Linked DNA regions of Mus musculus. The protein of the gene in region 1 interacts with the protein of each later gene in a biochemical or structural test. Links are inferred from orthologs where the notes say so. Each region holds a gene or a part of one and is shown on either strand. Other genes may lie near its edges.

What was found.
Region 2: of the proteins of Eid1 (region 1) and Fbxo21, one has a biochemical effect on the other in vitro, tested with the Homo sapiens proteins (2 studies listed by BioGRID, with this or other methods). The link is inferred for Mus musculus from reciprocal best matches to the Homo sapiens genes EID1 and FBXO21.

What each region holds. Positions count from the first base shown.
Region 1 is NC_000068.7:125,670,526-125,676,727, forward strand, and holds Eid1 (EP300-interacting inhibitor of differentiation 1), read left to right. Parts: upstream 1-2,666; coding exon 2,667-3,146; 3' UTR 3,147-5,118; downstream 5,119-6,202. UniProt on the Homo sapiens protein: Interacts with RB1 and EP300 and acts as a repressor of MYOD1 transactivation. Inhibits EP300 and CBP histone acetyltransferase activity.
Region 2 is NC_000071.6:117,973,990-117,980,215, reverse strand, and holds the start of Fbxo21 (F-box only protein 21), read right to left. Parts: upstream 3,447-6,226; 5' UTR 3,416-3,446; coding exon 3,177-3,415; intron 2,359-3,176; coding exon 2,223-2,358; intron 476-2,222; coding exon 381-475; intron 1-380. UniProt on the Homo sapiens protein: Substrate-recognition component of the SCF (SKP1-CUL1-F-box protein)-type E3 ubiquitin ligase complex.

The sequences.
Region 1 (6,202 bases):
CATGGTGCCTTTCTCTCTGCCCTATTCACCTAGGTAGACATACGTTCTAGGTCTAACTATCCAATCAGCAATCTACTCAACACCGCTCTCTAGATACAGCCAATCAGTGTTTTGTGGGAGAAGCTGGAATCAGTAGTAGAAGGAAAAATATCTCTCTCTGCCACTAAGGAACACCCACACTTGCCCAATGGGGCCATCTTTTGCTGTCATGTGAGTGAAGCCTTCTGGAATATAAAAATTTCTTTCCAGAAAAATTGAGAGCTGAGAGTTAAAAAAGCAGACTTGGAAACATGTGTCATCAATTTAACCAGAACATTTCCCCCCTTCCCTTCATACTCTTATTTATTTTTTCTGTTTATAGACTTAGTGTATTTACTTTTGTTTAGTTATTCACTACTATGTATCCAAACACACTAATATTAAGATTTCTAACATGGGGGATAGAGAGGTTGCTCAGAGGTTAAGGACCCTGGTTCCAGTCCCAGTACCAACATGTTGTCTCAAACAACCTGTGACTCTGGTTCCAGAAGATGCAAAGCCCTTTTCTGGCCTCTAGGGGCACAGAACATGTACATAGTACACACAAGTAGGCAAAACACCCACACATAAACCTAAAAACGATTGAAAAACATAAAGACTTCTGATATCACTAGCCAAATAACTGCACTAATTTAACCCAAAATGATTGTTTTATTGGAGATTCTAATTTGTTTGCTTGTGTTTGGAAATCACAGTGCAATAACTGACTTGTATAGGTTTTAAAGGTTAATTAAAATGCCAGCTATGCAACTACCAATGAATCCTGATTGCAGAACTGTGAGGCAGAACCTACGAAGGCTGTACATACAAGACAGCCAAGCAAAACTGCTCCTAGAAGCATACTCAACAATAATTGAATAAAGTTGTGCAACAAGATGTTTCCTTAGGAAATGAAATAACTAGGCTATTTATAATAGCCCTGAATTAGAAGCAATCCTGAAGGTGACTATTGTGATATTCAAATAGTAGACTGCTTAAAATATGACAACATATTTGTTGGGTTAAAAAAGAAGTCAAAACAAAGAATATATCAATACATCGTTTCATTTATCAAAACTGGCAAACTTTTTATTGAACTATTTGCATAAAGTCTGAATTGTGGTTATTCACGAGGCACAAAAAGAGAGAAGAGTGGTTTTCTGGGATCCACGAATGATGCCTTTTCTTCTGGGTAGTAAGTAAACAAATATATGTAGCTTGTGATAATTAAGCCACACACATTACCTGTGCACTTTTCTCTATTAACATTTCAATAAGAACAAAAATCAACATGCAAAGATTATATTCCAATAACAGCTCATGAGAAACTTCATTTAATGGATAAAGAGGAAGATTTCATACAAATATGTTCAAGTATGTAAAACTAGTAAGGATCATGTAACACTTTGGAGAAAAGTTCGCTGAAGAATATAAAAAATGACCATTGGCAAAAATTATATAAGATAAAGAGGAATGCTATGGAGCATTGTCTCTTGGACATGACAGGGCCATTGCATCCACGAATAATAAACTAAAGCTATGGAAAGATTATAAAGATACAATCAAGGCTGGAGAAATGGCTCAGCAGTAAACAGCATCGGCTGCTCACACTAAGGACCAGGGTTCGACTCCCAGTAATCACAGGGCAGTGTACAACTGACTTCGTTTCTAGGAGTTCCAACGCCCTCTTTTGGCCTCTGTAGGCACAATGCACACACGTGGCACACAAACATTACAGACAGGCAAACAAACGCATACACACGAAAGAGAGATCAAATTGATAAAACTTAAGTTTACTTATATTAATTCCATAAAACAATACGTGGTAAGGGTGTGGATATTCTCAAACACTATTGGCTACAGTTTAAGTTTGTAGAGCAACCGTGGCGCGTGATTATCTGTATATATTTAAAATATGTATAGCCTATTTTCCACCTTTCTTTATCCTAGTACTCACACATGTATGTGGTTTAGTTTCCCCATGGTATATACGTGTGGACATACACACAATTTATCTTTGGTTAGGTCAACTTCAATAAATTCAGAAGAAAAAAACCGAAAAGTTAAATTTTCTCAGTGCGCAGGACGGGACTAGTGGGATTTGAAATGGTGAGAGGTAATGGACATGCTGATCACAGGAACGCTGGGGAGGCAGGGAGGTGGAGGAGAGATGGCATCTGTGACAGAAGGCCAGGGCTTTCCATCTAGGCAAAGCAAGCACTTGGCAAGGAACTTAGAGCTGGTCTCCAGGTGGGTCACCAGCGGAAGCATCGCGGGTCCTGAGTGGGTGTGAGGGTGAGGTGGGAGTCCGGGAAACATAGGGGGTGAGGGGTGGGAAGGGAAGAGCTCGCGCCCGCGCCCGCGCCCGCGCACCACGCCCCCCCCCCCCCCCGTGGACCAAGCGGCCTACTCGCCAGCACACGCACGCCATGCTGGCACGCGCACCACGCCCGCCTACCCGTTTGCGCACGTGAAACGTGCTCCGCACGCGCATCACGCATGCCCACTCGCCTGCGCACGCGCCCCCCCCCCCCAGCTCGCGCTCCACGCACGCCCTCTTGCCTGCGCACGCGCACCACGCCCGTTCGCGCGCCCGTCTCTGCAAAAGGTTCCTTTTTTTTTTCCACCTTGGTCGAGTCGCTTCCACCATGGCGGAGATGGCAGAGCTTTGCGAGCTGTACGAAGAAAGCAACGAGTTGCAGATGGACGTGCTGCCCGGCGAGGGCTATATGGAGGTAGGCCGCGGGGCCCGCGGGCCGGCCCCGGAGGAGGGCCCCATGGAGGAGGAGGCCGGGCCGGCCGCCGCCCGCGCCCAGCGCGGTCTGTTCCCCGAGGCTGGCGCGGACCTGGAAGGCGACGAGTTTGATGACTGGGAGGACGACTACGAGTTCCCTGAAGAGGAGCGCTGGAGCGGCGCGATGCACAGGGTGTCCGCCGCCCTGGAGGAAGCCAACAAGGTGTTCCTGCGAACCGCGCGAGCCGGAGATGCCCTGGATGGCGGCTTTCAGGCGCGGTGTGAGAAGAGCCCTTTCGACCAGCTAGCTTTTATCGAAGAGCTGTTTTCGCTGATGGTTGTCAATCGACTGACCGAAGAGCTCGGTTGTGATGAGATCATTGATCGAGAGTAAATGCTGACGAGAGAGGAGGAAACTACCTGAGAGGGAGAGATTCAACATTCTGCTATTTTGGGGTTCATTCCAAATAGTTCTGTGCAAAAAATAAAAACAGTTGGTTTTTGTTTCTCGGAATAGAAGACGGGACAGTGAATGACCATGCATTGTGGAAAAGGAGAATCGAGGAAGGAGGAGTGTTAAACCTGAGAATCGCGAGGAGAAAAAGACCAAATCGTTCCTCTTTGGTCTCACAGGGGCTCAGCAAAAACCTCTGGTTCAGACTGTTGATCGAGATGATTTTCCTTACATTGGAGAAGAGCTTTCTCTGTTAAGCTTTTAAAGATGGTTTGGAAGAGTAAATTGTGACTACCAATACAAGAATCTAATTAAAGAATGGGGGGAAATACATTCCAAGATGTCTTTAATTCGAACTGAAAGGCTATTGAAAAAAAAAAAAACTTTCCAAATTCTTTTTGGTGATTTATACACATCAGTTATCAAAAGCTAAACTTGAGGTTTAAGATTGAGTATTCATCTACCCCACAGAGTAGTCCAAGTAAATGTGGGTATAAATGTAGACGTGTTATCATGTGTGCTGTCATCTTAAAATGTGTTACAAACGCTTCTGGAATTTTGACTGCACATGTATCTTCATGATTTATAAAGCTACTGTGACCTCTAATTTGGAAAAACCCATTGTAATGATTTTCAAAGTAAAGAAAGAAACAGGATGTCTTTTTAAGGTTTTAAGTTCATGCATTAAATAAAATGTATGGGAAAGCCCAAAGACAAACTTTCTAATACCCTTTTATACTAGGGAAATTTCACTTGCTGTTTTGTACCTTGACAGATGGTAAGACTATAACTGAAGTTCATATTGTAAGAACTGTTTGCTAAAATTGTCAAGTAAAAAGAAATCCTGCCTGTATCTATAAAAAGATGTATGAGCTATTATGTTGTCAAACTTTGAAGGTTTTAAACCTACCCAGAAGTCCACCTGGGTGTCTGATATTCATATTCTCTCTCTCCCTCTCTGCCTCTTTCTTCCCCTCCCCCTCCCTTCTTCTAATTATGCTTGTTAATCTTTATGCACCAGCATTGGCGATAATAAATTTTCTTGTTCTGTGTATTTTGCTTTGTCTAATAGCTTTGCATACATGCTTTATACAGGATTCTCTTGCTGTGTGTGCCACGCCTCCATCTTGATATTTAAACATCCAATGCTTACAATGTAAACCAGTATCAAATATCCAAAAAATGGGTTCTGGGATGTTAAAGCAAATTTCAGAGTTTTCTGGAAGACCCGCTCTGTGAATGTGATGCTATGGCTTAATTGATGCTGAAGTTCCTTGAGAAGAAAATGATGTATTAGCACGATGTCCCTGCTGATGCCACCATGGCAACCAATACAGAACAGAGCTGAGACAGTAGGATAACTCCTGGGTTTCTGTGGGGTTGGTTGGTTGGTTTTACAGTCATCTTGTTTGAGAGGCTGCCGAGGTGGTTCAGTGGGTAAAGGTACCTTCTGCCATATAGCCAAGCCTGATGGCCTGAGTTTGATCTCTGGGGTCCATGTGGTGGAGGGAGGGAGAGAGACCTCCCCCAAGATTGGGCAGGCCTGTTAGTAATTTTAGACCCTCACCTGGGATTTTAGTTGCTCCTGTACCTCCAAAGCACCTGTACATAATTTTGCCCCGGTTACATGTGGTTTCAGAAGGTGCTAAAACACAAAAGGTGGGAGGTTGGCTGATGTTAGGTGGGGACTCGTGTTTGGGAAGCTGTCACCCATGTTAGGGTAGGACATTTAGATAGAGCCGCTACAAACACTTCCATGGGTAACCCCTCAGCCCTCTTTTTTACTCACCCAATAAATTGCCTCACTAGTTGGACTTGAGGGAATCATTTATTGATCTGTTATTGGTATTTACCTGCTGTAAATAGACTTTTGTTCACATCTCCACAGAAATATAATACAAATATCCATAAATTTGAGTGTATTTGTGTTTGGGGACCAAAGTATATCGTGGAAGTTAAGAGGAGAAGCCATGCATTGGTATTTCTTTGTATCCTTTATTCTGCATTTATCTATCTATCTATCTATCTATCTATCTATCTATCTATCTATCTATCTATCTATCTATCTGGGAGATTCATGCCACAGTAAGCAAAGGGCAAAAAATAACCTTCAGGAGTTGCTTCTCTCCCAGCATTTGGGTGGGGCCTAGGGATCAGACACAGGTCATCAGGCGTGGTAGTAAACTCTTTTACTCACTGGACCCTCTTGTATTTATCTTTAGTTTTGTGGCGATAGGGTCTCACTATGTAGCTCCAGCTGTCCTAGAACTAGACCAGGCTGGGCTCATACACACAGAGTTCTGCCTCCTGCATGCTGGGATTTAAGGCATGTGCCAACATGCCTGGCATTTTTATTTTAAGATGTGTGTGTGTGTGTGTGTGTGTGTGTGTGTGTGTGCACTTCACATGCTCATACCATGGTACACATGGAGTTCAGAAGACATCTCTGAGAATTTCTAAAAAGCCCAGCTAGGGCAAGTTTTGGAGGAAGCCTCAGAGATGCGGCTTTTGTGAGTTCTCATCCTTGCTGGATGAACACTCCCCACCCCACCCCCACCCCCGCCTCCCAATGCAGCTTCCTTTCGGGTCATCCATGCACCTGTAAGTACCCCTCATCCATTCTCCTGTAAGTAGTCTCATCAGTCACTGCTCACAAAACTAGGTGTGGGTGGGACTGACTGGTTTGTCATCCCAGTGCCTTAGGTGGGGTGAACAGATGTTTGTTGACATCTCCCGAGCAAAAGTCACACAGCACACCTCAGGTTAAAGGATAGTGGGGAGCAGAAACAGACTAGACGATGCCTCACCACCATGTGCACCTCAGCCCCACTGCTTTTACACTCCCCAGGTCATTTTAGCCCTCCCCATGGAAGGGGCCATTTAAGAAACAATTATTAGCTGAACATGGTGGCACATACCCTTGATCCCAGCACTTAGGGGGCAGGATCAAGGCTAGTCTTTATGAGTTCAAGGCTAGTCTGATCTACATTGCAAGT
Region 2 (6,226 bases), on another chromosome or scaffold:
CACTGCATGACACGGGAGCTCAGATTTGGGTCTTCACTGACTGTCTCCCCGGCTCCCCTGACATTTTTTTTTTTCAAAAGACTTTATCTGTATCCCAGGATGTTCTGAAGCTCACTATGCAGCGCTCTCTCAAAGCTGCCGCTTCTCCTGCCCCGACCTCCTGAGCACTGGGACTTCAGGGGTGAGCCACCTGTCAACTGTGCACCCCGGGAGTAGGTGTACACAAAGCTTCTCAGAGCATAACTGTGGCATAACATAAACTATCTGGAAACACCGCAGCTCCCTCGCTCGCTCGCGCAATCTCTCTCTCTCTCACTCTCTCTCTCTCTCTGCCCCACAGCAATTCCCTCTGCAGTTATCCTGGTGAAGCTGTGCCTTACCTTCCTTCCATGTTTAGGATACACACCAGCTCATCCTCAAAAAAGATCTCTGGGCCCTCAAGGTTTTCAATGTCACTGAAGCCATTACAGGGGACCTGTGGAGAAGACACACACAGGAGGCCTCAACCATGAGTTAGCGTGGCTGACCCTGGCAGACACATAGCTGAGAGTCCCAAGGGAGGGAGGCCACACATAGAGCAGTGACAGCGGCTCTTACACACAGCCTCCTAGGGCCTCCAGGGCAGAAAGCAACCAACATGGCAGCCACGGCACATTCAGACCTGGCACCCGTGGCTACAGCCTCACACTCACACAGTCCGAGTTTCCGAGCCTGCTAAGGAGATAGATGTGTGTTAAGTGGATGGTATGTGTGTAGAAGTGGTGGTCCATTAAGACTCTTGGGTTAACATCCTGGGATTTTTCCCAGTTTCCCTTTTGAAAGCAGCCAGTGTTTCAGGTTGATTTGTGTGCACATGGAGAAAACAAGAAAACCAGTGTGCTGAGCCAAATTGATCACCCATCTATGCATCCACCTCTAACTGTGCCCCTGCTGCGTTCAAAGTCCACCACACGTTCTAATTAAGTAAGCAGTGACACAGGGAAGGGGGGGGAGTAGAGTTCACCGATCCATCATTATTAGAGAAAAGCACACACAACCACAGGTGGATCCCAGGGAGAGCCTGTGAACCAGTGGCTTGTGACTAACTGTATCCCACATGCCCCGCATCAAAACACCTGTGTGTGCGCACATTTAAGCCAGGACTGAACACTTGTAGTTACTGACTGGCAGGGGCACTGTTCCAGACTGAACCAAACCTTGGTTCATTCTGCCGTTAACAAGCATTTCTATAAACAAATTGGGGGGTGTCTATTTGTAGTTCCCATTGGGGACTGAGTTAAAAATGTGTTCAAAGTTCAGATCTGCTCTTTCAAAACTTGAAACGCCTTGAAAACGCTGCTCATAAACTCCTTTAACAGCAGAGTGGGAAATCAGAACTAACCTTCAGAAAATAACCTTCACCAACCTAGAAGAACTAAACAAGCACTGTCAGCTACACTGGTCGGCTCACAATCTGCAGGGACTGGAAATACGAGAGGGGACAATTCCCTAGCCCTACAAAAAGTAGTGAATGGAACGGACACCGATTTCCATGGGACATTTCTGGACAAGGGAGAAAAACAACGACTAACTCCGAACCTGAAAAGAAACACACATCTCAGCCCTTACAGAAAAGCGACACACGACTCGAGCCAGGCTTGAGGCTGCCTCCTGGGAATCGCAGTCCTCAGGAGGCTGGACGGGAGTTCAAGGCCAGCCTGGGCCGCATAGTGAACCTCCTCTCTCGGAACAAAGAGCCACAGTGATAAACAGAAATGCTCAATGGCTAGGAGCAGCTACGGCAGCTTTTAACCTTGGTTCCTTAAAAAGGCAGTTCCCTGCACGGCATGCACTTCTGCAGCCTCCCTGGGAAACAGGCACCAAGAGGTTGACAGTGCATAAAGCGCCTAACAGTCTCAAAGAGTAAGGCTTCTCTGGACCTAGTGGACACCGCCCTGTGTCCCTTTCCGCTCCTCAACACCCCACTCCCTCTGGCTTTAAAAAAAGTAGGGCTAGCAGGGACAAATGGCTCCGTGTTGTTGGACGGGAGGAGAGGGGACACAATGACTCTTATAAGCATGCAAGCAAAGGGCTGTGTGAGCAGTGAAAAGGGAAATAGGAACAAGAGCTGAAAAGCTATGGCAGGCACACACGAACGAGCGCGTGCGCGCACGAACACACATACACACACACACACACACACACACACACACACACAGAGCATGACCAAGCCTGATGCTTACGTGCTCTGAAAAGAACCGCTTGGAGAAGGAAGCTACAATCTTCCGGGCTTCTAACCCAGCTTTCTGCCGAACTTTATATTCCTCTAACCAATTGACGTAGTCGGTGGGGCTGTAGTGCTTCATCAGGGAGGGCCACCTATAAGGGGGGGGGGGGGAGAGAAAACACCCTTTCTCAGCTCCGCAGAGACTGCAAAAAACCACGGAGGAGTCTGCGGGCAAGGGGGGGGGGGTGGACTTGGCAGAGGCTCTAGTTGCAATAATCATAGCGTATGCAATGCATTCCCTCACTACTCAGATGCAGTGACCTTGGCGTGGCGACACGAAAGGCAGCGTTTCTACCACCAGTAGCCGCCGCCCCCCCTCCGCCCCCCAATCTCTGCGCTGGCCACAATCACAGTGATGCTAACGGTTCTCGTGGATGGCGCGCCTCCCTCAGCATCAGGCCCTGCAAACCCGGGCCTCATCTTATTTGATTCCCCATAATGGGAAAAAAAAAAAAAGGAGGGGGGGTCTCATCACCGACCAGGAGACCCAGGCTCTGGAGAAGGGAGGTGGACCGACATCACCCCCTCCACCCCCAAGGTCACGAGCTGGACTGGCAGGTCCGATGCCGGCATCCTAAGGAGCTAGCCAGGAATGCACGCACCGCTGCTTTGCCTGCACGTCAACATCCTGCAGCGGCCACAAAAGATGCGCCTCCTCCTGCAGCCGGGAGGCGCGTGAAGGCCGCAGCCCCCCGGGGCGGAGCGCTCCGGAGGCCCCGGCCTCGGGCGGCTGCCGCGACCCCATCGGAGCTCCGGAGGGGGCCCCCCGGGCTGCAGGCAGGCCTTTGTCTGCGGCCGCGGGAAGAGGGCGGCGCGCGGCCCGGAGGCCCGGAGGGTGGCGGGGTGGGGCCCCACGCGAGGCCCGGCGCCGAGGGGCTCTGCGGGTCCCGGGAACGGGATGCTCGCTCACCTCACCCGGAACTGCTCCTTCCACACCTGCCCGCTGCTCTGGCACACCTCGCGCAGGCGGCGGCAGGTGCTGGACACGCGGCCGATGTCCAGCGCCGTGAGCGAGCCGCTGCACAGGATGTACTCCAGCACCTCGCCCGGCAGCTGCACCAGGCAGCTGGGGCCCGTCGCCTCAGCCGCGGCCTCCTCGGCCAGCGCCGGCACCACCTCCATAGCGCTGTCCCCCGCTACCGACGCCATCTTGTCCGCGTACCTGAGGGGGCCGCTGTGCGGGCGGGCGCGCGCGCGATAGGAGCCTAAGAAGCCGTACCACGCCCTCAGGGGGAGTGGCTGGGAACGCCCCGCCCACGCCAGGGGGTCCCGCCCACTCCGCTTGGAGGACTGGGAAGAGCCAGAGGCGAGAGCTGGCTGCTGCTGCAGAGATAAATGGTCCTTTCGCGTCCTGATTCTCCCAGGGGCATTTTTAAAAATGATAGCTGGGTGCTCGTCTTCGGCAGCGCAGATACTAAAACTGGAACGATGCAGAGATTTGCATGGATGCTGCGCCTAGGATGACACGCAAATTCGGGGAGGCGGTGGCACCTTTGATCTCCGCATTTAGGAGGTGGAAGTAGGCAGATCTCAGAGTTCGAGGCTAGCCTCAGCTATAGAGCGAGTTCCATGACAGCCAGAGATACACAGAGAAACCCTGTCTCGAAAATAAATATATCGAGGTTGCCCGGGCAGTGGTGGCGCACGCCTTTAATCCCAGCACTTGGGAGGCAGAAGCAGGTGGGTTTCCAAGTTCGAGGCCAGCCTGGTCTACAGAGTGAGTTTCAGGACAGCCAGGGCTACACAGAGAAACCCTGTCTCGAAAAACAAAACAAAACAAAACAAAATTGCCCTTTGGCCTTCACCTTCTCGATGGGACATGAGTCCACATAGACAATAACTAAAAGTTAAAAATGACTATGGTGGCTTACTTCCTAATTCCCAGCTCTCAGGAGACCGAGGCACGCAGATCAAAAGTTGGGCTATCTATATTAAGATCCGATCTCAAAAGCAATTTGAGACAGAGTCTGATGTAGTCCACTCTGGTCTTGAATTATGTATTGGAGAAGGACCTTGAGTTTCTGGCCCCCCTGCCTTTACCTCCCATAGCTTGTATTAAAGGCATACACCACCAAGATGTACTTCAGAGGTGGTAGTGCGGGGGTGAAACCCAGGGCTTGGTGCCGGTTAGCCATGCACTTTACAGCCATGCCATAGTCCCAAAATTAAGCTGTTGAAAATGGCTATCTTATACCAAGCACTTCCTGGAAGTGATTTGGCCTTCTCCACGGGTGACTCACTCTCCACTGGGTACTGAGGCAAGCATACTATTTGTTTTTGGGGACCCCTATTTCTAGCTCTATGATGGTGTGGAGAATAGTAGTAACCCCTGAATCTATGTCCTGATTTGAAGCAGGTCGAAGTATCGTGGGGAGCTCTCCTCTGTGTGACTGGGCTCCTTCAAGCCGCTGATCCCTTTGACTCTGCCTCCCAAAATGCTGAGTGTGATTTTAGAGGTGTTCATGGTGTCTGCTTTTAATTGTCTTCCACTCAACAATCCTTCATGATTTGGGGGACATATATGCCCTCTCTGGCAATACAACAATTACCATATGCTCTGGCTGTCCTGAAACTCACTTGGTAGACCAGGCTGGTCTCGAACTCAGAAATCCACCTGCCTCTGCCTCCCAAGTGCTGGGATTAAAGGCATTCGCCACCACCGCCCGGCTGCTTTATTTTCTTAATGCATGTGTGTGCACATGTGTGTATATGTGTGTGTATGTGTGTGTAAATGAGAGCACGTATGCCTGCATGTGTGTGCATATGTGTGTGCGTGTGATTGAAGGTCAGAGGAGAATCTCGCTTGGGTCTCATCTTTAGATGAGCTTTTATTTACATTTTAATTTATTTTGTGTGCTCACGTGACCAAGCCAGCTCAGTCCGTCAACAGGTTCTCCAGCGAAGGAGTGAGGATTAAAAAGAAAAAGGACAGACAACATTGTAGCATGACCCCAGCCAGTTCTGAGGCTGAGGTGGGTTTATTTTTTTCCCAATCTGCTTTTATACCATTCTAATTCCATGCAAGTAACAAGGTCAAGCAGTACAATAAACACAAATAGTCAAGGAACAAGCACTGTCCTTGCTTTAATCCCAGCACTTGGGAGACAGAGGCAGGCGGATTTCTGAGTTTGAAGCCAGTCTGGTCTACCGAGTGAGTTCCAGGACAGCCAGGGCTACACAGAGAAACCCTGTCTCCGCCCCCCACCCCCATCCCCAAAGGCAATAAACAAAGTCCTGTGATCACTCCTTTGACCACTGTTTTTCTAAGGGTGACCAAGATTTCTGAGCCTACTTCCCTGTCCTAGCCCAAAATCAGATTCTTGCCTGAAGCCTACTTCTTTGTTCTACCCTAAAATTAGATTCCTGCCTGTGCTTACTTCCTTGTCATGGCTTAATGTCAGATTCCTGCCTGAAGCCCATTTCCTTGTCCTTGGCCAATGTCAGATTCCTGCCAAGTGGCCCTCAAAGCTCTCCACACTCCTGTGTGCGTGGTGTGAATATAGACATAGGGGGGCAACTTGCAGGAGTCTGTTCTCTGCTTCGATCACACAGGTTCCGGGCACAGACCTCAGGTCACCAGGCTTAGCATCAAGCACCTTTGCCTGGTTGGCAATCCCCATCCTTCAGGAAAACAAAAACAAAAACAAAAAAACAAGCAAACAAAACCCAATTCAGCTCATCATCAGACCCCGAACTGTGGGACTATGGATATCATAAAGTCAGAGTCCTTGAATCTCCAGAGTGAATTCTGAGTCAGGTTAGAAAGACCAGCTGTATACAAAGGGCATGGTAAAGAACTCCCCTCAATTCAGATGCTCTGGGTCAGAACCTGGGGAAATTCTCAGCAGATCCTGCCAAGCTATCCCTGGCCCTCTATCGGGCCTTAGAAATAACTCTGAGTCTCTAACATTGTTACAAAGGGACAGCCGTCGCCTGTCCATGGCTTACGTCATTCTCTCC